Drosophila melanogaster: one gene and its partners. The protein of the gene in region 3 interacts with the protein of the main gene of each other region in a pairwise test. Each region holds a gene or a part of one and is shown on either strand. Other genes may lie near its edges.

What was found.
Region 1: the proteins of CG3065 (region 3) and CG9426 interact in a two-hybrid assay, tested with the Drosophila melanogaster proteins (one large-scale study listed by BioGRID).
Region 2: the proteins of CG3065 (region 3) and Clamp interact in a two-hybrid assay, tested with the Drosophila melanogaster proteins (one large-scale study listed by BioGRID).
Region 4: the proteins of CG3065 (region 3) and Coop interact in a two-hybrid assay, tested with the Drosophila melanogaster proteins (one large-scale study listed by BioGRID).

Annotation. Positions count from the first base shown.
Region 1 is NT_033779.5:13,214,096-13,222,311, reverse strand, and holds CG9426 (uncharacterized protein), read left to right. Parts: upstream 1-2,388; 5' UTR 2,389-2,819; coding exon 2,820-3,275; intron 3,276-3,335; coding exon 3,336-3,527; intron 3,528-3,791; coding exon 3,792-4,636; intron 4,637-4,695; coding exon 4,696-4,951; intron 4,952-5,018; coding exon 5,019-5,153; 3' UTR 5,154-6,022; downstream 6,023-8,216. Other genes in the region: Ski6, read left to right, coding at 91-831; mRF1 (mitochondrial translation release factor 1), read right to left, coding at 1,047-2,225; kek4 (kekkon 4), read left to right, coding at 7,641-8,216.
Region 2 is NT_033779.5:22,164,143-22,172,161, forward strand, and holds Clamp (Chromatin-linked adaptor for MSL proteins), read right to left. Parts: upstream 5,002-8,019; 5' UTR 4,746-5,001; intron 4,502-4,745; 5' UTR 4,394-4,501; coding exon 4,238-4,393; intron 4,179-4,237; coding exon 3,978-4,178; intron 3,925-3,977; coding exon 3,495-3,924; intron 3,435-3,494; coding exon 3,161-3,434; intron 3,112-3,160; coding exon 2,908-3,111; intron 2,846-2,907; coding exon 2,410-2,845; 3' UTR 1,578-2,409; downstream 1-1,577. UniProt on the Drosophila melanogaster protein: Transcription factor involved in X-chromosome dosage compensation in males, the process by which transcription of the single X chromosome in the male is elevated. Binds to the DNA sequence (GA)n.
Region 3 is NT_033778.4:23,966,842-23,973,688, reverse strand, and holds CG3065 (uncharacterized protein), read right to left. Parts: upstream 3,385-6,847; 5' UTR 2,995-3,384; coding exon 1,792-2,994; 3' UTR 1,456-1,791; downstream 1-1,455. Other genes in the region: mr (morula), read right to left, coding at 1-169, 245-483, 540-1,056, 1,118-1,180; CG10904 (uncharacterized protein), read left to right, coding at 3,683-4,093, 4,157-4,546; or (orange), read right to left, coding at 4,912-5,123, 5,181-5,383, 5,445-5,536, 5,601-5,669; CG34213 (uncharacterized protein), read left to right, coding at 5,997-6,031, 6,083-6,173, 6,227-6,520.
Region 4 is NT_033778.4:7,489,077-7,495,764, reverse strand, and holds Coop (corepressor of pangolin), read left to right. Parts: upstream 1-3,175; 5' UTR 3,176-3,575; coding exon 3,576-3,819; intron 3,820-3,883; coding exon 3,884-4,716; 3' UTR 4,717-4,929; downstream 4,930-6,688. Other genes in the region: CG1620 (uncharacterized protein), read left to right, coding at 1-239, 304-899, 968-1,396.

The DNA of each region.
Region 1 (8,216 bases), on a different chromosome or scaffold from region 3:
CCACACTGTTGTTAAAATTGTAAACAAATCCCGCCGCACGTGTGATATTTAGTTAAAATCAAAATAATTGTATTTCTAAAGTTTCAAAATATGTCTGGTAAATACGATCTGCTCAGTGAGCAGGGCCTCCGTCTGGACGGACGACGTCCTCATGAATTGCGCCGCATCAAGTGCAAACTGGGAGTCTTCGAGCAGCCCGATGGAAGTGCCTACATGGAGCAGGGAAACACCAAGGTTCTGGCTGCCGTCTATGGACCCCACCAGGCCAAGGGCAATCAGACAGAGTCCGTCATCAACTGTCAGTACAGTCAGGCAACCTTCTCCACGGCGGAGCGCAAAAATAGGCCGCGCGGCGATCGCAAATCTCTGGAGTTCAAGTTGTACCTGCAGCAGGCGCTAAGTGCTGCCATTAAATCAGAACTATATCCCCGCTCCCAGATAGACATATACGTGGAGGTGCTCCAAGACGACGGCGCCAACTATGCGGTGGCTCTTAATGCCGCCACACTGGCGCTAATTGATGCGGGAATCTGCCTCAATGAGTTCATTGTCGCCTGCACCGCCTCACTGAGCAAATCGAACATCCCGCTCACAGACATCTCTCAGTTCGAGGAGGTATCCGGCGGACCGAAACTAACCGTGGCTGCCTTGCCTACCGCCGAGAAAATCGCCTTTCTTGAGATGAGTGAGCGGTTCCACATCGATCACTTGGAAACCGTCATCGAGACTGCTATGGCGGGTTGCCGCGAAATAAGGGACATTCTGGAGGCAGCAGTCAAGGAGCACCTTCTGCACATGGGCAGTGCCTCTGACTTTGCGAAAGTTGGTTGAAATAAAGTAATCTTTTCTATTCCAATCTTGTCGTTTTTTACAATTGAAGGGCAACAATTATAATAAAAAGGAACCAACATTTACAAATTAAATAGTGTCTTTAACATTGTATTCAGATGGCTGCCCTTGCTCTCTTTTAATATAATTTCTGTTGCAAAAGCACAATTATCCTCTAAAACACAGGCGTATAAATGTAGTAACAAACGAAAGTAGCTCTAGTTTTTCTCAATAGCTTCTTTTGGTGGCTCCCACCTATCCAAGAGCTCCTTTAGTCGTTCCCTTCGATGTTCCAGTTGCAACTTCTCTATTAGTCCACTCAGTTGGTCGCCGCCCTTGAGGAAACCATTGAGGTTGTGCAGCGTACCGCCTTGAATTCGATGATCCGTTATGCGGTCCTGGACGAAATTGTAGGTACGGATCTTCTCATTGCGATTGAGACTACCCTGTTGCGCCTTCTTGGTGGCCATTTTGCTAGCCTCAACGCTCTCCAACTGCTGTTGCACAAGTCGCGACCGTAGACGCTTCATCGCTAGCTCCCGGTTTTTGAGCTGGGAGCGTTCCGATTGCGCCTCCACCGCCAGACCCGTGGGCAGATGAACAATTCTTACAGCCGAGTCGGTGGTGTTAACATGCTGTCCACCAGCTCCACTCGCTCGCTTCGTCTCGATCTTCAGATCCTTCTCAGCGATGTGCACTTGGATGTCGGCGGGTCGGGGAATCACTGTAATTGAGGCGGTGCTGGTGTGCATGCGTCCAGACTTTTCAGTGGCCGGCACCCGCTGTACGCGGTGAACTCCAGCCTCATAGCGCAGCCAGCGGAAGGCATCCTCGCCGCTCACCATCAGACTAGCGTGCCGCAGACCCCCGATGTCGGTGCCCTCGCTGGCAAACTCCTCCCACTCCCAGCCCATGTGCTCGAAATAGCCGGTGTACATTTCGTACAATTCTTGGGCGAATAGCATTGCCTCCTGGCCACCGGCGCCGGCATTCAGGCCGAAGATCAGAGCCGGATACTCCTCATCGTCAGAGAGCGTAAGCAGCTCCTGCAGTAAGGCCTGATCCTGCTTGCCCAGTAGATCCACATAGACTTCGTTCTCCTCGCGCATTAGCTCACGCATATCCTCGTCCTTCTCCGCTTCCATGTCCTTGGCGCTGGTGATGTGCCGTTCTAGTACGCGTCGCTGCTCCAGGGCACTGACCACGCCCTCCAGCTGGGCGAGACGGGCGTAGGATTTGCTGTTTCCGGCGGCGTTGACTCGCACGGCGTAGTATTCCTGGCGTAGAGACTCCAAATAAGCCTGCAGCTTCTCGTTCTGAATGCTCAGCGGATCCGTGCTGGCCCAACGGCGTGCCAGGTAACCCAGTCGAAGGTTTAGTAGTTTGCGCGATATCATTTTGTCAGCTTTTCATTGAAAATTCATTGAAAATAAAATACAAATAATTAAATAACAACAAGAGGTGGACCAAAGATGATAGCAGCGATTACTATCAATAAGTTCTGGATAAAAACTGAACTTATCGATATTCAGGCATAGTGCAACTTCTATCAACATCGATAGTCGCCCAAAAACATCGACTCCAGTTCCAGCTACATACTAAAGTGCATTGAAAAGTCAAAGAAATATGCCAGTTTGTAAATATTAAAAACACTATTTCATCTTAATGGGGAAATAGCTGTCTTAGTAGCGGACTTCGGTTGTTTTAATTTGTGATATGCTAACCTTTTGCCTGCAGTCGTTTGTATTGCGTGTGTGGGTGTGTGTGCTCGCCTTTTGATTGGAGAAAAATAAACGGACTGCGACAACAACAACAGCAGCAGCAGCAACAACAAAGGGTGAAGTGAGCGCAGAGTGCAGCAATTAAGTTTAATTAAGCCAAACAATTGAATGCGAAGAGTCTGAGCTGTGCTGTCGCCCCCGAAAAGTGCATTTATTAAGGCGATATCGGATTCAAGATCGCCGAAAAGTAAAAACCCAACAGTTGACGAAATGCCACCGTTGAAAACATACCAGATACACGAATACAATGGCAATACCAGTCCGAATGCGAATGCCAATCAGAACGCCAATCAGAATCCCACCGGCGGCGGCGGCGACGGTGACTTCTTTGGCCAAAATCTGGGATCTGGAGCCACAGCGGCCAGCCATCGCACAAACCTGCCCTCCTACTGCAACGCCCAATATCCGTTCAAGGTGCTTTCCAATCTCAACCAACTGCGCGAGCAGTCCCGTTTCTGCGACGTGGAGATCATCGCCGGAATGGCAACATTGAGTGCCCACCGGGCTGTCCTGAGTGCAGCCAGTGCCTACTTCGAGGCCATGTTTCGACCCGAGCTCGGGTTAAATGAGGTCAAGCAAAAATCCGTTGTGCTGCACACAATCGACGGCGATATCCTGCACATCCTGCTTGACTTCATCTATACGGGTCGCTGCGAAATCACCCAGGTGAGTCCATACACCTAGTCGCTTGGTCTCCAAATTCTAATCCCTTCTTTGATCTTACAGTCCAATGTCCAGGAGCTCCTGGCCGCCGCCGACATGCTGCAGCTAAACGAGGTGGTCGACGGGTGCTGCGAGTTCCTCTGCCGCGAGCTGCACGCCTCCAATGCCCTGGGCATTTTACGCTTCGCCGAGGCCCACAACTGCGAGTCGTTGGCCAAGAGTGCACTGAACTTTGTCCACGCGAATTTCCCAGCGGTGAGTTGGATGCACTTGAAAGGCTTGATTTGTAGGTGTACCGCCCAAACGAAAAGTGGGTCATGGAAATAGTCAAGCAATGTTCTATATTTATTGGAAACGAAAATATTCAACGAGATAAACGATAAAAAATATCAAAATAATAATATTTAAAGTTATTTTCATTTCTGCCTTGAACCTAATAATTTATCGTTTAAATTTGAGCATTTGGCAAAAATATATATTTCTATTTTAACTGATTGGTACTTTCCTTTCTTCGTTCAGGTAACGCTTGAAGATGAGTTCCTAGAAACGCCACAAACTCTACTCTCGCAGCTACTGAACTCGGAGCTGCTGCGTGTAGACTCCGAGTCGCAGGTGTTCCAGGCGGCGCTTCGTTGGATTAAGCACGACGTGACGCAGCGCCGCTGCTACGTCTTCGATGTCCTGTCCCACGTGCGCATGGCGCTTGTTCCGGTAAAGGTGATCGACAAGGCTCTGAAGGACGACTGTCGCGACATGTCCGTGAAGATAGCCCTGCGCTCCATTTGCCGGGACATTGCGTCCAAGCGCGGACAATTGGTGCCGCTGCGGGTATGTCCGCGTCAGCTGGCCAAGAAGAACATATATATCATTGGTGGATCTCATCGGGATACGCCGCGAACCTGGAACTCGGCCGACTGCATCTTCGAGACGGTGGCCAAATTCGATATATTCCGGCGCGAGTGGACGGAAACGGCGCCTATGGAGGTGGGACGCATCCTGCCAGGTGTATCAGCATTGAATGGCAAGATCTATGTGGTAGGAGGAGAGCGCGGTTCACAGATTCTGGCCAATGGCGAGGTCTATGATCCACAGAACGATGTTTGGCAACCGATTGCCCCGATGATTGTGCCGCGCTGCGAGTTCGGTCTTTGCACCATGGGCGGAAATCTGTTTGCCGTAGGCGGTTGGATAGGCGACGACATCGGCGGCTCCATGGAGTGCTATGATCCGGAGCAGGATCTCTGGAAATTAATGGGCAGCATGCCGCAGCCTAGATTCAGCATGGGTGTGGTCAGTTTCGAGGGTCTCATTTACATTGTCGGTGGCTGCACAACAACAACCCGTCATCTGCCGGATTTAATCAGGTATTTAACAAAAAATATTTATATTCGTAGTTATATATTTTTATAAAAATCCATTGCAGCTTCAATCCAGTGACAAAAGAGTGGAACGAGCTGGCCCGCATGCAAACAGCTCGCTGTCAAATGGGTGTGGCCGTTCTGGATCGCTACTTGTATGTGGTTGGAGGCAGTAGCATCAGTCAGGACATTCTCAGCTCCGTGGAACGCTACAGCTTCGACGAGGATAAGTGGACTACAGTGTGTGCATTAAACGTGCCCAGAGCCATTCCTGCCGTGGTCGCCGCCGATGGCTTGCTCTACGTAGCTGGCGGTGATCAGGTAACAAGTATATTTCAATTTATTTGATTCATAATTTAATCATTGTTTTTGTATGCTTCTCTGCCAGCCCTGCGAGGTAAACTTCTACCGAGCCCAAGTGACTATCAATGCTGTCGAATGTTATGATCCGCTTTCGGACACCTGGAAGAATTGTCCCGATCTACCAGTTAGCCGTTCGGAGGCAGGAGCAGTGGTTGTTTAGGACCTCGGACTGGTTCGGAAGGGTCAAACACAAAATCTGTCGTCGTTTTAAGAAAACCACACACGAAAAACACTCTCTAACTGTAGCTCTTTGACATTGTATACGTTACACACATCACAAGTCTCTTCCCTTTTTTCGATTCAATTGAACGTAGTGGTCACTCGCCAAAGATATGTAAGCGCGTTGTTATGGGTATGGTTGATGTTGTATGTGGGAGCATAGCGCAGCTATTCACCAGTTAGTACACATGCTAATAGTTAGCCACGATGGAAGCAGCCAGCCTCAGATTGTTCCGTAGTTCGAGTTGTCCTTTATAAAAGCGAAACCAAACACCGAAAAATATAAGAAACCAAAGCATTCACTTTGAAAACGACAAATTTAACGTATCGTAATTGCTGAACATTATTTGAATCAATTATTTGTTTGTTTTCAAATGTATTCTCTAATTTTATTGTTGAATTCTGACCAGAGTGTTAGGAACAATGTTTGAGGCGCCCTTGAAAAGAGCGAAATCTCCACTGAACTTTGTATTAGTATAGTCATTAGGGACGTTTCCTTATCTGTATGTTAATTCGACTAATTCCATTCCGACAGTATTCTACTTCTAATGCTCGAATATTTATACGAATGCAATCTTTTAAAACGTATGTATGTATCAGTGATTATTTTTTTAGAATGTCTGTTATAATTAATTCTGGTTTTTATCCAAATCTAAAGTATCGTAACAAGTTTTTCATTACTTTTAATAAATAGCATACTGATAAGAAAAAGTCCCTAACTGTACCAAAGCAAATTAATACAAACAATCAAAGATGCGAACTGTATTCATAATAGGTGTATTATCGAAATAAATATACGAATTATAAACTACTAATAAAAATGTCTTCTTTCATCGTGGGACCACGACCACCTTTAACATCCTAACCTTTTTATCATCTTACAAAAAGAAAAGATGTTATTTTCGAGAAATACAGAAATGCCGGAAATACGCAAGCCAAACACAATTGTTTAACTGTTTGGGGTAAAGATTTTTTAAATCTTGAAATCTAAGTTTTTAACTTGTTTATGATAAAACTCAGTCTAGTTTTAGCACAAGTCATTTCAAATTGGTTTTATATTTATTATTAAGTTGGGCCGAAATCCCGGCGGTACTGCAATACCGGGCCAACCCGCGACAGAGGTGGAGCAAGCTCCTAGCACTCCGTCTGATTCCAAAAATCAGTTTAACATTTGTTGTCCTCCAATGGAGGAACTATCAGATGTTAAGCTGATAAGAACAGATACTACACTTTGATCTTAGCCATAAGGCCGAGAAGCGATAACTTGAAACGGAAAACGAACAGGCTCTCCATGACCAAACGGCCAGAAGCAGTTGGGAATTCTAAGTGTGCGCACACGAAAAATGACTCAACGTAGCTGTTGCTCAGTAAGAATTGCCTACTTTTAGGGGTAGTTGATGTTTTTGTCTGCGAAGCAAATATAAACAAATCTTTTTATTTTGTAACGGACAATCTTAAAAACATTTCGCCCAAATATAAAAGTTGCTTTAAGACTTATACATAAATCTTAAACATATGTGTACATATAACCATTCGAACTGACAAGAGGTACGTATTATTGACAAACATATGTTGTTTGACAAATATAAATATTTTATGCGGCATAAAAGCAATATAATATGGAAACGTGTCAAATTTGTTTAAATTATTTATCTTATTTTTTTCAGTAGCTGTCTATAAGTTAATGTAAAAATGGTTATGTTGGATATATCAGATGTGTAACAATGAATAAAGCAAATACATATAATTTAATGCGAATAATTCAAAAGCAGTAACATTTAATTTAAATATAATATTCGGTAAAACAACAAAATACTAATGTTAATTTACATAAAAGAAAAAGGAAAGCAGAAAATCTACTTGACATGCGCCGAAATACTGTTAACACTCTGGTAAGTGGGGCAGTACCAAAATAGAAAAACAGTTGATGAATATACGCCGAGGTCTCTGGAAGAACATTTTCGAAACGAGCTTAAGGCGTGGCGCGATAGTAAATTTATATTGTTTTTCTAAATCTGGTAAGCCAACAAAGTGCAGCATTTTCCCACGGCCAGTGTCAGACAGCCGTACACGCAATTTTTCAATGTTTAATGCCATACTGTTAAAGAGAAAACGGGAAAAGTGGCCTTGAAGTGGCAGTTCCCTTGGGGCAGGTAATGGGAACTTCTTGTCAGCCTACATACATATATCATCGAAGAGAAAGGCAGTTTCAAATATTTATTTACATTTAAATGAGAATAAACTAATGAAATACCTTTTCTTTTTACTTTACAGCATGGCTTTCAGGATTATAATGCTAGGCGAACAACGATTTAATGACGGACACTGGACATGAGCGAAAATTAAGCAAAAACAATCAAATGTGCATCAAACAATAACCCAGACTAACTGGGATGTGCTAGACCTTCCGTTCCTTAGAAAAATCTCAATGGCCATCAAGCTTAGCTTCGATCCATGTAGTATTTCCTTAAAGCACCTGTCGCTATTCCTATTTAAGATATACTGCTTGGCACTCATATTCCGAAGTGCCAGTGCCGATTGGCTATTGGACTGTGGAAACTGTCACTGCAAATGGAACTCTGGCAAGAAGACGGCCGACTGTCGCAATTTGAGTCTGAGTGGAGTCCCAGAGTACCTCAGTCCGGAGGTTCAAGTGCTGGATTTGTCACACAATCATATATTCTACCTGGAGGAGAACGCATTCCTCACGACCCACTTGCAAAATCTTCAAAAGTTACTCATCCGAAATGGCACCCTGAAGTACCTGAATCAGCGAAGTTTCACCCAACTGCAGATCCTAATAGAGCTCGACTTGTCCAATAATCTACTTGTCGACCTGCTACCCAATGTGTTCGACTGTCTTTCGAAAGTGCGGGCGATATTCCTGAATGGCAACCTGTTGCAAGCACTTCGCCATGGAGTCTTTCGTAATCTCAAGTATCTGCACAAGATCGAACTTAAGCGCAATCGCTTGGTTAGCATCGATGCCAAGGCCTTTGTGGGA
Region 2 (8,019 bases), on a different chromosome or scaffold from region 3:
AATAGACGCAATAGTATGTCTGCCTTTTTAACCGGTTTTTCATTTTTATTTGGCAACCATTTTGCTAATGAATGGGTTTTCACGAAAGCACGCTTATGCGAGTTTGACAAAAAAAAGTGTTACCCAAAGCATTAAGTCGACAGACAGGCTTAAGAAAATTACCTAAATTATTTGTAATAAAAGTATTTATGTTATGAAGCCCAAATTATTTATGCCGAGAAGTCATCATTTATGTAGGTAACTGTTGAAATTGCTTTTTTGTTATTGTTTTTAATCGCATAAAAACCGCCATTCTGGACAGGAGATTTCGGTTACATACTGCAATACATTAAGTAGCACTCGAATGGTTTGGTTAACTTGATTATTGTCCAATATTGCATAACAGCAGGATAGGGCTTAGGCCAGGACTTTTAATTCTTCTGAATTTAGTGGGTGAGTGGAGTGGGAAGCTGTAACACACTTGCAAAGGACGGTTGGCATGGTAGGCAGTCGAAAAATGAAATTGTTGTTTAACTAAAAACTAAATACTAAATAGCCAAGATCGGTTCACCAAAATGACAAATATAAGCCAATAGCATAGTCATTTAAATGAAAATGTTACTATAAAATCGTATAATTACTTACTTGTTTAATGGCGTGCCTGCACCATAAAATTTAAGCTTGAGGAACGAGTTAATCTAAAATATTTATGTTTTCAAGAAAAAAAATTTAAAAAAGAAAATACGGAAATTTAACAGTGAAAAGTATATATATTGTTTTGTGTGACTTTCAATTTAGCTTAAAAATGAGTTTGAAATGCTTTGTTATATTTTGAACATATATATAACATCTATTTTAGATGTTGCTTATATTGTTTATCCACAGCTTTAAAATAATTTGATATCAAATTGGAAAAATAATTGGCACGAATAAAAGGACTCTACCAAGCGGCAAAGACCATGGTCAAATTTAATTGGCCGGATAAATATGGATTGTGGTACGCATCCTTTCCGTAACTTTGTAACGATTTAGTTTTTAAGCTGTAGCAGAAATATTAAATAAAAAGTGGACCAACCACAGACACAGATCTTCCTATATAATCATGATTGCATAGTGCATGCAAACCAGTTGACATTAAAAGAAACAAAACTACAATCCCGTGTAACTAAAATGTATTCATTCTTGAATAATCCTATATACATATGAATATAAGTTTGTAATGACCGCAAATTCAAAAATGGACCCTAAGCAAAGTCCATGTTCGCAAATGTATACGTATACGTATTTATCTTGATTTAACTGATGGCGAATTCTAGTAATTTAAAGCTTTATTATACAAGCCATGAATCCTAATTCTTAAACACTTGGTTTTGATTATTGTAAAAAATTCGTTGCCACTTCACAACTTTACTTTAAATATGTAAAAATATTTTATTTTTAACAGATAATACGCAAAAATATAAATATAAGAAGTTTAAAAGAGTGCGTCCATTTTACAAATCAACAGCTCTAATTTTTTTGAAAAGACAGCAGTAATTCACATCATCTAATTTTCGATAAATTTTAACTTTATTTTACTCTTTTACGTCTATGAATATTTAAAGTTTTGTGTATTTATTAATTATATTATTGCCAACATTAAAATTTACTGACCTTATAGCTTCACGTAAGAATAAGATGAACGTGGCAAAACACTAAAAAAATTATATTTAAAGTGAAATGGTGCTTACATTAATAAAAAAAAAACGCATAAGACGTCGAAAACGGTGGAAAATGTGCCTATTTCTGGGATCCCTCTATTCTTCGTTAAGGCACTTGCAAATGGAGTAGGTTAGTAAAAAATTGTATTTTATTCAAATATTTATTTGATTTTATGCATTATTTAATACATACTTATATTAGATAGATTTAATTAAAATATATTTAAGCTTACAACTTTCAACTTATATGTGTGTGTTTATTACCTGTGCATATTCATACGTATCGGATTTGCTCGTATCGTCACCTAATAAATCCATATTTTACACCTACAATTTGTATAAGAGAATAGCCTATAACACTTATAAATACGATGCCTATACATATATGCGTTTAATGTTTAAAGATGTTTAAGTATATTATACAAGCTATCAAATAAATTAGGTTCATTTGTATGCTTATCGTAAAAAGCGTTTTTGGGTTTCGCCCATTTTTGAAGATCCCACATGAAAGTGGAGAAAGGACATATGCAGCTGAAGTGTTAACGATGGAACATCGTTTTCTATTCTTTAATATCATTGTGGTGATATATGCGCCCTTAGAGATGGTTCTGGGGCTAGCATAGGTGGAGGCAGATGATCATAGTAACGCTCGATAAACTGAAGCTAAGCAGGGTGGACTCCAGTGTCTGTGACTTCATTAAGCTGCCTGTCACCTCTGCATTTAAACTATCTATAACCCACCGATAATCACTTCCTGTTGGGCCTCATCCTCCATGTCAGGAATCTCCTGCTTATGCACTATCATCCCATCGCTGCTGGTCTGGCGAGGAGCAGTTTGGCCGTACTTTTGGTGTATGCCGCGGTGACGCTTGAGTGCAAAACGATCAGCGAATGCTGCAGAGCAAATCTCGCACTTGTAGGGTTTTTCTCCGGAGTGCACCTTTGCGTGGTTCTTAAGGTGCGCCGCCTGAGAAAAGGCCGATCCACAAATTTCACACTTGTATGGCTTTTCGCCCGTGTGAATGCGCCTATGATTCCAAAGAGTAGCGTGGCGCGCAAATCCTTTGTCGCAAACACCGCACACATAGGGCCGCTCGCCACTGTGCGTGCGTTCATGGTTCTTGAGGTGTGGTGACTGTGAAAACTGCATGCCGCAGGTTTGGCATCTATGTAAAGATAACGGTAATTAGTATAAAGAGTATAATTTCAAGTAGAAGATTGGTATTACTTATAGGGTTTCTCGCCTGTATGAATGCGCGCGTGGTTTTTCAAATATACGGCTTTAGCAAAGGCCAATCCACAGATGCTGCACTTGTAGTTTTTTTCACCGCTGTGCAGCTTTTTATGGGACCACAGACTTGAGTAACGTGAAAACAGACCACCACATATATTACAACTGAAGGGTTTGGACGGATTTCTGCAGGACAAACACCTTGGTTTTGTTAGCGTAGGATAAGGTTGCAATTTCATGTTATACTCACTCAGTTTTAACAGTAACTGATTGCTTTACCGATCCGCCCACCCCGCTGTGTGAAGCATGGGAGTGCTGCCCCACTAGCACCACGCCGGAGCCATTGCATTTCTGGCATTTGGTCATCTGCTGGGAATTTCGTTTTTTCACAGGATGATGGCCAGACCCACTGCTCGCCTCTCGCTTTGGCGTTGTACCGCCAGTCTGTGCAGCCACAATTTGCTGAAGTTGTGCTTGGGCCTGAGGAGTCGTTGATATGATTTGCACGGGATGCGCCATTTGACCTGCAAAAGATGCGATGAAGTTAGTTATGGTCCATTTAGAATGTAATCTTTCACAACTACCGTCTTGGGCGACGAAGAGCTGCTGTTGTTGTTGCGCTGTTTGTTCAGCCTGCATGCAGGACTCGCAGCGCACCTGCTTTGGACCTTTGCGTTTGGACTGCTGCAGCATAGAGCTTCCACAATTTATGCACTTGCTTGCCTTTGACTCATGTTGCTGCTGCTGCATTACAGATTGCTGAACCGGCTCCAGCGTGTCAGAAGACACAATCTGTATCTGGCCCATCTGACCATTTCCAATAATGTTCTGTGCCTGCACAAGCCCCTGCGCGCTGACCACGGCAATAGAATCGCCGCCCGCTTGGGCGTTATGTTGCTGTTGTTGCTGCTGTTCCCCGTCTGTATGCATCCGCTTATGAGCATTAAGAAGTGCCAAATGAGGGAACATATCTGAACATACGTCACACTTAAAGCTTATGTTGGATATGGTGTTCTGCAAAGAAGAAAATCTTTAGGCTTTGCTTAACGAGTCTTCCTTTTACATACAGCTGCAATTGGCTTATTTTGATTGACAATCTGGATGCGGCCTTGTGCGTCTACCGTGGCGATGCCAAGAGCTGCACCCTGATTGAGAGGCATTCCGTTGACCAGGGCGTAATTGTATCCGCCCACGGGCTGGGCTATATAACACGTCTTATTGTCGTCTGTGGTGGCCAGCTGTGCGAGATTGACGGTACCGCCATTGCCCTATGTGAAGACAATATGAAAAGTCAGCACCAATAACATATAGTAAGTAAACTACTTACATTTGTCGTGTAATAGAAGGTAGGCTGCTGCTCCGTTTTTTGGCCCTCTATTTTGGGCTGTTTAAGAATGGTGCCATCCGCCGTCTGGTATTGAATTGTGGCCGGTTGCCCATTAATGGCATTTGTGAAGATAATGTTTTTGGTAAGGTCTTCCATGGTCCCCAAAATTCGAGTATGCTCAAAAATTAACTTTTATCATACGTTGGCCTTTTATTTACTGCAGCTCTGTCGCGCTTTTCAACACTGCATCACGCGACGCTAATTCTATAAAAGAGAAAAAGAGATGAATATAGTGCCATAGGAACCCAGCGAAAACGACTGATTAAAAATGGCGACGGTGAGACAAAAAATATGTACATACGCGACACAAAACATACACAGACGAACGTTTAATGCAGCAGCTCTTTACATTAACAGACTCTAGTATCTAAACTGGAGTCTAGCACATTTGTTTTTTTATCATACAATATTACACTACATGTGTTATTTTTTTCATTATTAAAATTACCTTTTACGCAACCGGACCACACCATAAATTGCGCACTGCCTGCTCCACAATAAAATTGTTAAGATTTGAGTGGTGTAAAATTGTATTCGTGAATTGATAACGTATTTTAACGATATATTGTTTGGAATAATACAAGATATATATTTAAATAGTGTTATCTTTTTCTAACAAATTCCAGCACTTTAACTTTCAGTCCATCATTTTTTACGATTGCTAAAGAGAGATGGAGACAGAACAACGCTCAGAGATAGAGCAGACGAGCAGCAGTTTTACTTTTTAAAAGTGTGACCGTTTCACGACTCATGAAAATAATCATTTCCCTCGAAAATATACCAAAATTCACAAAGAACTGGTAGGATTTCTTAGAGCCCTTTTACACTAATTCGATAACTCAGAAAACATAAATATTTTTATATACGTTTTGTACTTCGTAATTTGGATTACATCACATGTTGTCTTACATGTTGTCTCTTACTCAAAAGGCAAACGCTACGATCAGTAGAATCTGGCTGTTACTAGCTTTCGAAAAGAAATATCTTGTGCTGAGCTGCGTTAAAAACACGTTTTAAATTTATTGAGACTTAACTTTTAATATTCTACAAGCTAAGGTAACACTGTAAGAGCAAAGACACTAGAATATTCTAGTGTCTTTGGTAAGATCATGGGCCATGGTTGATAACAAATTCCATAAGATAACGAAATTTTACAGGCACTCGACTTTTAACTAATTCTTAAAGATTCCATATAAAACGTACTTATTTTTGTATACTTAAATCTTTTAGGAATTCCTATTTATCTTTATCACTCGATGTAGGGGAGTGAGTTAAGGGACAACAGATTTTTTATGCCCCACGTAGTGACGCAAGTTATCCAACCCATAAATATAGCACTCTACCAAAAGCTAAACAAATTTCTAACTCCAATCTCAGCAGCGTTGCCTTTGCCCTTGTTTTTGACGCCAACACTTAGCCACCCGATATATAACCAAACTTAAAGTAAACACAACTTCCACTTGGAGACCAAGCCATGGTCAACTTATTGCGCTTCAGTCAAACTGCGTCAGTCAGCAAATTTGAATTTCACAATGCTGGGAAATAATTTCAGTGTAAAGCTTTTATCCTAAACATATTAAAAAGCTTAAGAGAATCCTAAAGAAAAGCTTCTGGCCGAGGTTGAGTGGATTAGGATTAAGATTTAGAAGATCAGTCTGAGTCGGGACGAGATCGTGAACAGCTTCAAATCAAAGATAAGCTAGTAATAAAGTGTCTTGTAATAGTATAAGTGAGGAAGTCTGTCGCCGAATAAATATTAATTAATAAAAAATAAAAACTATTCTTTTAAATAATTAAATAGCAGCAATTTTAATTCGCATACGTTTTGGTTTTGAGCTTAAGATCCTGGATGAACAAAGTTCTGCGAGTCCTGTTTGGTGTTGGAAAATTTCAGCTTCCAAAAGATTTAAATACTCTCGGCGCCCAAATTCAAAAATTTATTAGTGTTGGCAAGGCAACCAACGTGGTCAAATGTTTTTTATGACAACAGCATTTAAGGGAATGTCTTGAGATAGTAAGCTTATTTATTAGCTATTTTTGAGGAATGAAAAGACAAGTTTTATGGTAGTGATTTCGAACGATTATGTGTATGGTTTTGGAAAAAATTATGTCAGAAGGAACGGAAGGAAGCGTTTCGGGCATTATAACGTGCTTATATTCTTGTCTTCGGCTACCAATCCTTCTGTTCGTATACTTTTGAAAAGTTCTTTATCTTAAAAAATTAAGTTGTTTTTCTTGATAATTTGTATTGATATGCTTGAACTATTTCGCCACGACCAATTCAACACCCAAAACTTTTTGTTTTCATTGTTTATATTTTGCATTCCTTCTGGCTGTGTAAACGGTATCTCAATGTCCAACAAATTTGCTTAAGCGTTCTCTCTTATTTAAAAATAATTTGGTGGTAATAGAACTTAAATGAAATATATGTATATCTGTTTAGCTGCTTGTGATGTAAAAGAAATTAGAAATTAATTATGTGTTTACATTAAGATATATATCTTTCCCGCTTTTATTCTGTGTTCAAACCGCATGTGTTTTATATCGGCTTAATATACATATGTATGTCGGAGATTGAGTAGATCTAACGCAGTATTTGAATGTAACCGAAATTATGTTTTTGAACCGTTATGTTAAGAATGAGTTAAGAGTAATGAAATTCATGGAAATCGTTCCGTTATTGAGTAAAAATCCTTTGTGTATGTATTCAAATGAGCATGGCGCCAGTTGTTGTTTTGGTAGAGTTTCGTGGAAACGAAGTGAGGATGAAATAATTCAGTGAAGTTGAGGAATAGAAGAAAATCATCGAGGGCAACAACACACGTGTTAGACTTAAATGGCTCCAAGTGTAAAGTTATGACCTTTTGTCGTGCCAACCCAATACGCACGACTTAAACTCCTTAAACCTCCTTGGTTTAATAAAGAGTTGACACACCTAAGAATTGTAAAGTCCAGACTCTATATAAAATTTAAAAATACCGGTTCTCAGTCCACCCTCTGTAAATATTTAAGCGCTAGGTTAAGCTTTACCGGGCTTAATGATCAGTGCTACAATAATTATTTAAACCGTTGTAAGTTCCAGTTTGCACAGGATCCGAAACAGTTTTATAATTTCGTTAGCACTAAGCGAAAAACAAGTTCTTACCCTTCCTCGTTATTTTTAGAAAACACTACGGTTACATCGGATCAGGCAATAGCCCTATTCGCCAAGTTTTTTCAAACAACATATTCAACTTTACCTCATTCCGAACAGCCATACTCTTATGCGGTATCTAAGTCGAATCTAATATTTTGCCCCATTATAAACGAAAGCTCACTGCTTAACGATCTTCAGCGTGTTAAACCGGTCTATTCGCCAGGTCCTGATGGAATCCCTGCCTGTGTGCTCAGATTCTGTGCGGAAGCCTTGTGCAAACCTCTACTGAAACTGTTTACCTTATCTCCGGAATCTTCACAGTTCCCTCATATATGGAAGGAGTCCTTTATGATTCCTCTGCATAAAAAAGGTAGCAAACTGGATGCAAGCAATTACTGAGGAATCTCTAAATTGTCGGCTATCCCAAAACTTTTTGAAAATGTTATCACTCCTCATTTGAAGCACCTTTGTAGATCAATCATATCACCGTGTCAACACGGTTTTATGAAACGCAGATCAATAACCACTAACCTCTTGGAGCTAACTTCTTTCGTAATACAAGGTTTCAAAACTAATCTTTAAACAG
Region 3 (6,847 bases):
TGAAGAACTGACCAATAACGCTTTGGGCAAACGTTTCGTACATAAAGTAAGTCAGTTTGACTTTGAAGGATTTTACAGACTCGGGAACTTCGATATCGCTTATGCTATCCTTAGACTTCCATTCCGTGAATATGTTTGTGAGCCAGGACATTATGACATCCGATAGCCACTGCAAAGGTAGGTAATAAATGAGTTACTTAAGTAGTTTATTTATGACAACAGAAGGTATTCCCATTCAACTTACAGTTTCCAGTTGCTTAAGATGACTTCTGTCGAAGATTCCCATGCATGTATCGCTGATGTGCTCCTTGATTTTAAGCTTGATGAGAGCGGTTAAAGCACTCCCAGTTAGACGGTCAATGAGGTTCATCTCGAAGAGCTTCATGTTTGTCTTGTTAACCATATCCGTCAGCCTTTGGCAGCAGCATTGCTCTGCTTCGAAGTTGCAGCCAACGCAGAGGAGCTCATCGAAAACATCAGAGTCTGAAGGGGAAAGCAAGTGAGCATGGGAACCACAGGAGTATGTATCGGATACATACCAACTGTGGTCAATGCGAGATTTGAGGCCTTGGTGAAGAGCTTAAAGTGCACCCAGTAGAAGGCCCCAACGACCACACTGAAATTGGGTGGCAGTTGAGCCAGCAAGCAGTCCCTTAAGCAGTTCTTAATGCCTTCCTCCTGCATGAGCTTCACCGTCTTTGCGGTGGGCTTTGTCTCAGCTCCAACTAGCTGGATCAGCCTGGGCTTCACCTGCATCAGGCTCTGAAAGCTGTCATGCAGCTCATTGATGGCGTCGATGAACTGGGTGAACAGTCCGTTCTTATCGGGCAGTGCTTCTATGGCCAGAGCTTGGTCGTTAATCCAGCCCTGCAATTTAGACGAGACCAAGCCGTCGTGGATGTGCTTCCAGAACTTGGGCACCAGGACATTCCGAATAGTCGACTGGATTTCCAGGTCCACAACCGCCGCGAAGGTGTCTATGCTGCCCAACACCATCAGGTGCTGGCGAACATTTTGGAATACATTCTCCTCAACCGGATCATTGGATACAGCGTTCTGTAAGAGTTTCTGAGTGCTAGCGCCAATCCCTATTACTGAACCGAAGGAATAAACCTACCGCTCCACCCAAAACCGGAAAGATTCTCAGTACATCCGCCCACAAAGCGTCAAAGTCGCACATCGCTTGTGTGTAATTATTTTAAACAGTGCAAAACATTGCTTGAAACTCTGAATCAAACGCCAATGGTGATGATAATGCTGTTATCGATAAGTCGATTCTATCAACCGAACCGATAGTCGATGAATCTTTGATTTATCAGAAATTATACATATATCTATTATTCATTCTTATAGGCCATTATTAATCATATTCCAAATTTCAAACTGGATCGAGTCCTGATCCTGATGAACTATCAGTTCCCCATCAATTAGCCCATAAATATAAATAACAGTTTTACTAAAATAAATTATATTAATAGATACGGGGAGCTTAGTAGCCAGAAAATAAGAAACAGCAAGAGTTTCAGAAATACAGATGTATGTCTTCACGTTCCGGCAAACACAAACAGTTAGAGCTAAAATTAAATTGCATACGACTTATTTACATACATACATACAAATTGAGATTTGAGAGCCGGCGCTGATCTTGCATAGGAATATAGTTAGATTGCGAATTTATTTAATTTTATTGTACTGTGTGCGTCACCCGACACACGCCCGTGTGGTAGCCAATATCGATTGGATGCGGATGCCAATGGCTAGCGACTTAAGGAGTAAGGAGTAACTATGAAACTATCGTATCTTCAAATGCGTCTGCTGATGCTTTTTCAAGTGGTCGCTCCGCACAAACCGGCGACAGCACTGCTGACAGGCGTAGGGCTTCTCCCCGGTGTGCGTTCGTATGTGTCGGTTGAGGTCGTCCTGCCGCTTGAACCGCTTCTCACACTGCCGGCAGTAGAAAGGCCGATCCTGAACGAACTGGGGCATCCCATACGTGCCGGGTCCGTCCGCCGGCGGTAGCTGAGAGAGGGTATTTACAATTTCTTCGGTCGGTTCGTATTTTACCTCGGGCTTCGCCTGGTTAAGGAAATCGGGCAACTGGCTCTGGTTGTGGCCATGGTTATCCATCTGGTGTTCAGGAGATACGATCTGGTACTTGTCGCTGTGCTCCGGCCGTTCCAGCTTAATCTTTATCGGCTTGTGGTGGATGTCGATAATGCTCACGGGCTGCTGGTGCTGGTTATGCTGCTGCTGCTGGTGGTGGTGCTTCATGCTCGGCTCCCCGCAACCAACCATGGCGGCCATGAAGTGGAAGCCCGAGTCCGACTCCGAATGAATCTGCTTCTTCGGGGGCTTGAGCCGGACTCCACCACTGCTGCTCGGTACTGTTCGCTTCGGGGTGCTGCCCTTTAGCTGGCGGTCGTGGGTAGCTAGGTGCTTGGTGAGGTGGTCGCTGCGGGAAAACTTCTTGGTGCACTGGATGCACTCGAAGGGCTTCTCGCCGGTGTGCGTCCGGAGGTGCCGGTTGAGCTCATCGGAGCGCGTGAATCCCTTGCCGCACTTGGGCTCGCTGCAGACGAAGGGCTTGATGCCCGTGTGCCAGGTGAGGTGGGACCGCAGGTGGGAGCTCTTGCCGTAGCTCTTTGTACAGTTGTCATACGGGCAGACGAACTTGCGCTTGGGATCGGAGGCGAGCGTCGTGGCCATTAGCTTCACACTGGGCATTATGCGGATCTTAGAGTTGCCGTTCCCGCCGTAGTGCGAGTCGTCCTCAGGCTCAGTCTCAACTCCGTGATGGGGCACATTCTCCACATTCGCCTCGTCGTGCTTGACGTCCTCGAAAATCGTCGAGGCCCGCAGTATCATATCGGACGCCTGCTCGTGTATGTTTGCGCCGCTCATCGTGGGAAACGCTGGTGGTGGTTTCATGGGTTCTATGGGCGTTGATGTCGTCAGCATTTGGGGTGTGGGCGTGTTTGGTATTACTTGTGACATTGTGCTTACGTTTGGGGCTCGCTAGCGCCCTATCCGGTATGTCTGGAATCGAGAGTGGAGGTACTTTACTGCCAGCTGCGCGCCTACCGCTCCCTAATTACCAAAATTGCGTTTATCCAAAACTACACTCCTGTACAGGAAACTGTGTTCAGTGGGCGTCGGCCTAGGATTTATCAGTTCTGTGGTCCCTTGTCACCATAGCCAGCTCGGAAAACGGTCTATAGTCGGTCCTGGCGTCCCGCACACATTTTCCAATTGTTTTCGGCTAGCGCGCTTGCATATTCCAGCGGATTTGCTTATTTTACTTTATTTTATTTATATACTGAAGTATATCCATTTAATTGCGATGAGAATTATCGACTAGTCGATAGGACCAAGAGATGCGACTGAATGCGTGTACGGAGATATCGGATTTCAATGTTGTATTTATTGATTGCTATTAGTTTAGCACAGTTAAATATCTAAAACTAAATGTGTAGTTAACATTAAGAAATCAATATAAAGCGCAATGGAATTACATTTTGTTTGATAGATCATAAAACTATTCATCGTTTCTTTTTTTTTTCAAAAAGTACTAAAAAAAAATACTGCGTTGCTGTTTACTTTCGATAGTTCAGACTCGCCCATCCCAAATGTGCACTGCAATAAGATTCGATGCATATTGACATATTGTTGTTAGTTTGCTGAGATGCCAAATAAATCCGAGGAGCTGGGCGAAACGCAACTGACCAAAAGACAGAGGAGGAAGCAGACGATCTGGACGCGGGAGAAGATCGCCAAGCTAATCGAACTTTACCGCTCGTCGGACTGCTTGTGGAACCACTATTCCGAGCTATATAAAAACAAGGATTGCAGGGCTAAAGCCATCGAATCCATCTGCGCTTCGCTTGAAATAACGAAACACGACTATGGCAAGAAGGTGCACAACCTGCGCAATCAATTCAATGCAGAGCTCAAGAAGTTGGAGAGGAGGCTCGAGGAGTCTGGAGGAGATCGAGATTCGGAGAAGGCTTGTCGATGGGAGCACTTCAAGACGTTGATGTTCCTACGATCTGTTATAGAACCACGACCAGGCTATCAACAAGGTGCTCCGGGCAAGGTGGGCTCCTTAAATCGAAATCTTTAGCCCATAAGTTAACCAATCTATCCTGGTTTTTGGTAGAAATTGGTATCGAAGCTGGACATGTGCTACCCGGATCAGGATGTGGAAAAGCAGAGCCAATCCTCGATAGAAAGTCTGGAATCCATGATCATAGAGAACGATGCAGAAATCTGTCAGCCTCCGAAGGTCAGCGAACCCATTCCTCCGATGCCTCCTGAACCTGCGCCGTCTTCCAAATTCGTTGATCCAAATCGAACTGTCGAAGCTCCAGCTGCTCCCTCTCCCTTCCACTTACCATTAAGTGGTCGTGATCAATGGGACGCATTTGGCGAACTAATCGCCAGTGAATTCCGTAACCTGAACTCTGAAGTTTCGCGCAAGAGGCTGAAGCGGAAAATAATGCAAGTTATGCTGGAAGTCGGCGAAGAAGATGATCTTACAAACAGTTGATTGTAGAATTATGAACATGTTTAATACAGCGGACACCGTTTTAGGTATAAATCTTTAATATATGCAGCACACAGATCATGCGAATACGTCATCGCAAGACACTTTGTATGTACATTTTAAACCCCATTCGATATAGAACGGAAGTGGTTGAACTTCGCATTGTTAAGCTATCAAAATCGTAAGGCTCGTTCTCGCTACTGGTAATTCATTTGCATTTTTATTATGGTAGGGGAGTTATATAGAGTACGTGGGACCTAATATTACGGAACAGTCGACAGCTGTTGGAAATTCATGAAGGACTGCGAAAAAGCACTAGATTCAACAGATTACAATTAGACGAGAGAGTTATATCAGACGCACATTTGTCAGAACTTAAAGTCCTTAATGGCCTGCGGCAGATCAGGTAGCTTGATGTCTTTAATCTGTTGCGGAATGTTCATACTCTTCACGGCGCTCACAGCTCGGGCAGGTGCAGCCGAGATGCCCGCTTCCTGCTTGACGATCTTGTTCTGCTCCTCGATCCTGGCCATTATGTCGTTCATATTTGTCTGCAGGACCATTCCGCCCATTACCAGTTCTGAAACGAATTCATGATAGCTGAATCTGAATGGATTGCCAAAGTAGCTTTCCCAACCTGAGAGGATGTGGTGGACGGCATCGGCGTGGAATATCAGGTCCAGCTCACACACGTTTTCGAAGCACTTGTCGAGGGTTTCCACGAACACCTGAATCAGGTCCAGGATTCCCAGTTCGCTCTCCGAGGAGTCCACGCAGAAAACGAAGTACAGCGTGGCATAGTGTCTGTAGATGAGTTTGTAATCCGATCCGCCAATCAAACTGTTGGAGGAAAGAGGTGCTTTAAGATATTCCAGGAATTTGCGGGAACAATATTGCTCACCTTCCGCCCTCCAGAAAGTTGCAAACATTATCGTCCCGCTTGGACACCAATTGGAAAGTCTCTTTGATTATTTGTTGCTGCAGGCTTTCATCCTACAAATGATAGTGACAATTTATTATGAACTAGATTATATGGATTATATGTCGCAGTACTTACGAAATACTGATAGAACTTCGATAGCCGCGGCTTCCCGTGATTGTTAAAAACGAGAATGGCTTTTATCATCTCAACTTCTAAGATAAGTCAACAAAAAAAATGAAAATGTTTAAACTGCCAGCTGTTTTGCTTTTTCGACGAGGGCTGCAAAATCAATACTTGGTATAGCATCTATAATATCGATATATCTTTATCTGACGTATTTATTTCAAAAATCTAATAAGAATCATGCATATTTTAGAAAGTTAGGGAAAATATATTTTTTAAAGCAATTTCTTAAATCGGGTGTTAAAAATCCGTACAAAAAAAAATTCTATGGATTTCTGATTGTTGCCCATCTCTAATGCCTTTAACCTCGCGGTCTCCGATTTGTTTATTTCTTATTTTTATTGAATTATGAATATTTTGACAAAAGTAAAATACAGCTGCAGGTACTCTGGGTTTTATTTTGTAACTCCCTTTAGTTAACGTATAGTTTGCAGGGTGAGCTCGGTTTTAAACAGAGATGTGAAGCAGCACGGAAAGCAATTCATGTTTGATACGCGGGAAGAAACTTCTTGGAATTCAGATGAGGTATCATCCTAAGATTTGGAAAAAAAGAATATAACTCCAAACGGCCATTTCAGGGAACCCCCCAATTCATTACCATTAGCTTGGAGGAGCCACAGAAAGTAGCTGGATTTAGTTTCCAGTTCCAAGGCGGATTCTCTGGCCAAAAATCCGAACTGATCATGTACTCCGCTGACGGAGCCCAAGTTCACCAAGAGCCATTCTACCCAGAAGATATCAACTCCCCACAGCTTTTTCAGATTGCGGAATCAGTCCGGGAAAACCCCTGCTCAAAGCTAAAGTTCGTCTTCGAGTCCAGCACCGATCTATTTGGTAGAATCATTGTTTACGATCTCCAGCTGTTCGGCTAGTCTCTGACCCAATAGATCTTACTAAATGTGTACAAAATCTTCTCTAATCAAAGTGTATAAAATCGGATCATTATCTATTGTGGTATTATCAAAAACATTGGTCCGTAATAGGATGGTCATGGTTATCAGCAATAATTGTGCTGATTCAGCCTGCCACTGCTGAAATTGATATGCGACTAATTTCATATAAATATTTCAAACTAGGTAAGCCCTTTAAGTGCTTACGAGTGTGGATCAAGGTTCAATGAAAATATTTCCACGCGATTCCCCAATTTGAATATCATTTGCATGGAGCTGGCTCGAAAAACACGCAACTTCATAGCGAAG
Region 4 (6,688 bases), about 16 Mb from region 3:
TTCGAGCAGCACATCGCAACTGGAGAAACACGACGGCATAGACCAGGAGGAGGAACCCAAGGAGGAGGCCGATAAGCTAGCATCACCCCCAGAATCAGGAGAAGCTTCGTCCGTGGACACGGAGGATGCGCAAAAGTATGAGGGGATCAAGAAGCAGCATCGCTCACATTTGCTGGACCTGTATCCAGATGAATCCTTCGTCGATCTGGCGCCCACATGCGGAGAGGAGACGGAAAGATGTAGGTTTAAAAATAAAACGTGACAGAATCTAATTATCACTTCCATTATGTAACACTTTTATAGTCACTCCACTGCAAACACTGTTCGATGAAGTGGAGGCCGAGGAGGAGGAGGAAAGCGAATCCGAGTTGGACGATGCTCGGAAGATAATAATGGTGGGTCACGACTATCAGGCTGAGATCCCAGAGGGGCTGTCGCAATATGGCGATATATTGCCATATGAGAACGAGGATCAGTTGATCTGGGAGCCCAGCCAAGTCAGCGAGCGCGAGGTGGAGGAATATCTGGCCAAGATACAGGAAACCCGATCGATAGTTCCGCCGGATGACGGGTCAGAGACTACGGCGGGCGAGGAAGGCGCAGCTACAGGTGCTACTATCGAACCGCCGGCTCCCATTACAGCTCCAGCCACGCCTCCGAGGGCTCCGCTTGCGACAAGTGGCGCTGGCGATCAGGAGCTGGTGGTAAAGGATAATGAGCAGGCGCTCCATCTGCTTGTCCAGTGCGGTTACGACTTCAAAGAAGCCCTACGACGCAAGCGCATGAACGTCCTGCCTCTCACTGATACCATGAGCAGCTGGTCCGAGGACGAGTGCCTAAAGTTCGAGGAGGGCATTCAGCGGTTTGGCAAGGACTTCTATCAGATACGTCAAAACCAGGTAAAGGAGCGTCCATTGCCTGCGGACCGCCCTAGCAAGTAATCTATGGGCTCGTTGGGCTCTTTCAGGTGCGCACTAGAACCATGCGCGAGCTGGTCCATTTCTACTATCTGTGGAAGAAGAGTGAGCGCCGGGATCAGAGCTTTGCTTTAAACGACACCATCGATCACATGGATGTTTTCATCAACGAGGCGGGCGGTGGCAACGGAAGTGGTAATGGAAATGGTGCCGGGATCGTATCGGGCACCGCTAACAGTAATGGTAGCTGCTCACCGCATAGCAGCAATGGTCACAGCAATGGGGATTTGTCTGCCCTGGAGAAGGATACCATCGCCAGTCCTCGAAAACCCGCCTCTAAGAGCTATTCTATTATGACCGGGAGTCAGGCGGTAGGTAATCCTTCCGGGGGGAACCGAAAGCGATGCTCATCCGCATCTCTGCCCCTGGAGGACGAGGACAACAACGTCGAGGAAGAACCCAGCCTGTCCACAGTGTAAACGACATCTCTATCACAATCACCATCATCATTATCATAACCGAGCGCAGGCGCTTTCGATTCGGTTGGGCCAGGCGATGTATTTGCAGGGCGCTTCATTACCATTACCACTCACTATAAATATGCATACTGTACGTGTAGTATATACCATATGTCTAAACATATATATTCCAGATTCTTAAATCGACATCTCTCATAACCCGTAAAGAATTTCTCTATTGTTAAGTGTGCGATTCGTCTATTTGTTACATGTGCGTGTGGATTCCGGAACCAAGTACTTATCGCTTATATATACAATATATTTTCGCTCAATCCTTGAGTTTCGTTGAATGTCAATAAATGTAATATGTATATCTGTAAAGTCAATTCTATTGTTTTGTCGATATTTGACCAAATGTTTTAAAACCTCCAATAATTTAATGAATTTCAATTCTCAATTTACGAAAGTAATGTATGATCAGAAAAGATAAATATATATGTACATCGAAAGCTTTGTAGACTCACAGGTAAGATTCGCTACAAATCAGATACTAATATTACATAAAAGTACATCTTAGATATCTTAGATGAGCATGATTTATTTTATTTGGTTCAAAACAAAGTATGCATCATATTATTAATTTATTCGGCCTAGTATTTTCCCCTTTAAAAGCCTTTGTTTACATATAGAAGAAACAATATTTAAACGAAAATTAACCAAATTTTATCAAATATGCATTAGTTTAATCGCTACTTAAAAGACAAGCTGACGGATTTCAAATAACCATCTTAACGAAAGATCAATCGTACTCCGTATTCCCTAAAAGTTAACCGGATCGGAAACAAAGAACCGGTCCGTATAAATATACATACATATCTCGTATACATAGATACTTAGGTATGTCTGTATCTTTTCCCCAGTTTTCTTTGCAAGGCGTTCTTGAAAATGGCCAATTACGGTGTTGGATTCCCATTTATTGGCCGCATGTCTGTCCACGTACATTGTGCATACGAATGTGTGTGTGTGTTTTTCGCACTGTGGGTAGAAAGACGAGTATAAATTGCGGCGAGGATCAAATGTCAGGCTGAAACCCAACCGCAAAGCTACAGAAGATCTGATAAATAACCCCGGTCGCCACTTGTCATGTCTGCTTCACTTGCATTTTCGCAGTCCCAAGAAGAGGAGACTCAACCCGAAACGTGCAAGCATACACGTATAAACATTAATATGTACGTGTGTACACATATACAGACAACGGATACAGTCTTCGGTTCCAGGCTCACGATCGTTCCAGCTGGAGCTTTTGTTCCCACACACCCTCGTCTGTATATAGAAATGTACATATGTATGTGCGCTGTGGCGGTGGCTCCACTGGCGTGGCGTGAATTTTGTACGTTCCCTCCAGCTCCATTTCCAAGCGACCCAGCCAGCCGACCGTAGTAAAATCCAGTTTTGATAAAAATAAACAAAGTACACTACACCGCTCTCTATACGCTACACTATGAATTTCCAGTCTCTGCGGCTGGGTCACCTGGAAAAGGATCTCCTTTCGCGTAACGGGAGGGTGGGCCATAGAGCTCTATGTAAAGACTTTTACCGCTAAAGCGCGTGACATGTCCGCTCAAGTCGCTGTACGGGTGGAATTCTATTGCAATAGCCGTTTTCGGTGCAGAGCATATTAGATTCGTTACGGTGGGCTCACAATGGCGAAGTTAACAACCGTAAAAAGCGCAAATACGACACAGAGTTGCGGCCAGCGCAGCGGAAGCTTAACATCCGGATAATATTGCCAGGCAGCTCAGTTGTTGTTCTGCCGCCTCGCCTGCGCCTGCTTCTTCTTCTTCTGCTTCTCCTGCTTCTTCTTCCTCTTCTTGGGTCTTCTGTTCGTGGCAAAGCCTGTTGCTCAAGCCTCTCTCCTCCTTCCCGATCCCGCAGCTCCGCCTTCGCCTTTGCCTGTGCCGTCGCAACCAGCTCCGTCCGCTCTTTCCACAATTCTCTCTCGGCACCGCCAAAAGGCACGTAAACTGGTTGTTGCTGGCTGGGCCGTACACTTCGTGGTGCCCGTATTTTTCGTATTTTCAGTGCTGCCTGAACGCTTGAGCTGCGCGAGTCGCTTGCCGGGAAACTCGGAGTTGGAATCGGAACTGGATCTGGCTAACTAGCTATCGGGCTATCGGAAATTGGCCACTCGGATCTGGACATGGAGATGGCCTACAATGCGTCATCGTCGGCGGCCTCCGTCGGCTCTGCTTCTGCCGCCGCCTCTGCCACCGCCTCCTTCGCCTTCACCAACACCGCCAAGCTGCCCATCGAAACGGTGAAGCGCCTGATTGCCGCCGTCTCACGACGTCCGATGTTGTGGCTGCGCAACAATGCCAATGGCCAGAAGCGCAGCGACATCACGCCTGTTTGGTTCGAGGTGGGTCAGGATGTGAATTTGCCAGGTGAGTGTATGGCTGACTATTTCTCCTCTGCGCTTTCCGCTAAAATGACTCCCCCCTTTCACAGCCGACATCTGCCGAATTAAGTGGGGCCACCTGAGGGACAACTTTCGCAAGGTGTACATCCGCAATAACCTGTCCAATGAGACGCCCTCGTCGTGGCGCTTCTACAACGATATGCGGTTCATGGAGCCCGCCGTTCACGAGAATATCATGCGTCAGACGCGAAGCAGCAGCAAGAAGCACCCACCCGGACACTGGACGGAGAACAATAATGTGCTGGGGCCGGACAAGTATGACTCAATGCCCATTGTTGCTACGGAGCCCATATGCGAGCTCAGCCACAGCTATGACTCGGAGCTACACCAGCCCAGCTTCTCGGACATCAGTTCGTTCTTCGAGGATCGCGACTGCCAGCCGCCGGAGAATAAGAGATTTAAGTCGGAGCCCAGTCAGAGGGAGGAGGACGAGGAGGATGACGATGACTTCGACGAAGATGCCGCCTCGGAGAACTTGGAAGAGGAACGCGGCAATCGTGCCGATGCTGCCAGTTCCGGTGTATTCACCATAGAAGTGCTCGATGACGACGACGAAATGGAGCAGGCGGTGACCAAGACCAAGGCGAATAACACTAGCCACGGCGGATCCAGCCTGAAGAGCGAGCAGGAGGCCAAGGTGTTCTCCAATTCGCAGTCACCCACCGCCGATCTGCCATTCAAGTATATCAGCACGGATGTGGCCACGAATACGGATCCCTCTGGTGGAGATCTCCAGGACGAGGCGGATCGCATGTTCCTGCTCAGTCTGATGCCCTTCCTGCAAAGATTGGACAGCCGCCGGCGTCTGCGCGTGCGCCAGAAATTACAGAACGTGCTCATCGAGGAACTGGAGTTTGGCTGAGGACGCGTATATCCGGGGGAATGTGGGGAGATTTACTTTATAAGCCTAGCTTACAGTATTATAAGAACGCGACTGACTAACTCTGTGAATCTGCCTACATACGTAGCATGTAATCAGTATTCCGGCCTGCTTTCCTTCATACCAACACACTTCAATACATACCATATTGCATTACAATACATATTTACACTTCAAATAGACGATCACGCCAGCATGATTACTTGTTTCTTCCTCAGGATAACCGCTCACTTTTACCTGTATCTGCGCTCCGGTGCACCTGCGCCTTTTACCTGCGCACCCCGCCCGCAGTTCGAGTTCCCAATTATCCACGGTCACTGTTGCAATTGCATTTTTCCAGCCACGGGCGGCTCAAAATTTCTGTCAGTGCAAAACAAGTTCTTTAAGGGTGGTGCACGCGGCAACAACAACAACCACAAGGTGATTCCCTCCGCATTTTCGCGCCACATGCGCCGTTAATGCTAATGTACCGCGCTCTCGCTCGCTCTCTCCGCTCACCAATCACAATGCGCTCCGGATGGGCGAAACTTGGTCGAGCCTAGGCAACTTGATAATTCCCTTTTGGTGTGTTGTGTTTTTTGCCTGAAAACATCTCCCCATGTTTTAAAAATGATTCAAAGCTTTCGTTGAATAATGGCGGGCTTAACAGTTCTGCGATTTGCTTAATAGGGTCCAATTGGATGGAGTTTAACTTTCAAAAACTTTCGCTAAACAGAAAGCTCATCTTCTAATGAGTAGAGTCTGAAATTTAGACGCAGAATCCATAAAAATTCTTAGTGGTTCATGCATTGTTGTTAAAATGTTGAATGCTGTTTTGTCTTTTCGGAACTCATTTGGAATTCCAAAATTTAAGGTGAAACACTATTTAATTTTAATTTAAAATTCCTTTTAATTTCAGCAGTATGATTCCCCTCTGATTTGTAATCACAAAAATGTTCATGGCCATTCATTGACCATCATTTATACTTATTATAATCATTTATACTATTTATAAAAATTGAAATATAACAGTTAGCAGAATCAGTGTGACCAGCCATTGTGAGGATCAAAAACTAAACCTCCAATTCGGCTATGCCCGCGATACCCTGAACGAACAGGGGCGCGAATGACAAAAACAACAAAAACCAGCAGCAGCAGAAGGGCAGCGTCGTAACGAGAGAGCCGGGCAGAGAAGAAGAGGAAGAGGCAACGGCAGCGGCGAGCGCATGAACGTGAGTTTTGCAGTTTGATGGTTAAATGCGTGCGTGAAGGTTGGAGTGAAGATTTTGAGCCGAATTCGAATCCTAGTCCCCGCCGCAATAAGTGGGTCAGAATTGGAGCCGTTCGATTGGGCCAAACAAAAAGCTGGGCGCCACCGCAGACTGCAGCTAAAACACGCCGCCAAAGTAATTGGAAGAAGAAGCAGGCGCACAATAGGAATAATTGTTCATGGATTTTTTCGATTTCTCGTTCGCTTGCAGAAGGAAAAGTGCACGAGGGTGGAACCAAGGGTAAATAAGATTCGCCCGAAAACGCTTGGAAAATGTAAACAATCTGTAAGCACAGCGACGATAAGCGATTTTCAAAGAGTTTGCCAGCTTTTTACATCGATCAAACACTCGCATAATAAACGAATAAGAACTGACGATTAAATCGAATTGAAGTGGAGTGACGACTATGGGATACCCTAGGACCGCGTAGAGTGAATGAATTTGACAAGTGAGTTAAAAAAGCCATGGGGCACGAATTAAGTTAGCATAATATATGTGCGTAAATCAATTCAGTGCTATTAACTAAGTTTGTTGGGGGAAATGTTAGCTGTGTAATCCGCATAAAAGGAAATCTTGTTTAGGACCCATACGCCCCTGATACCCTGGACCGAAGCGGACGCCATTATCCTATTAGCCGTTATGCCCCATCAAGCGATTCGATTGTTTGAGGTTAGTAACAGTACATCTGACCAAACTTCTGCATC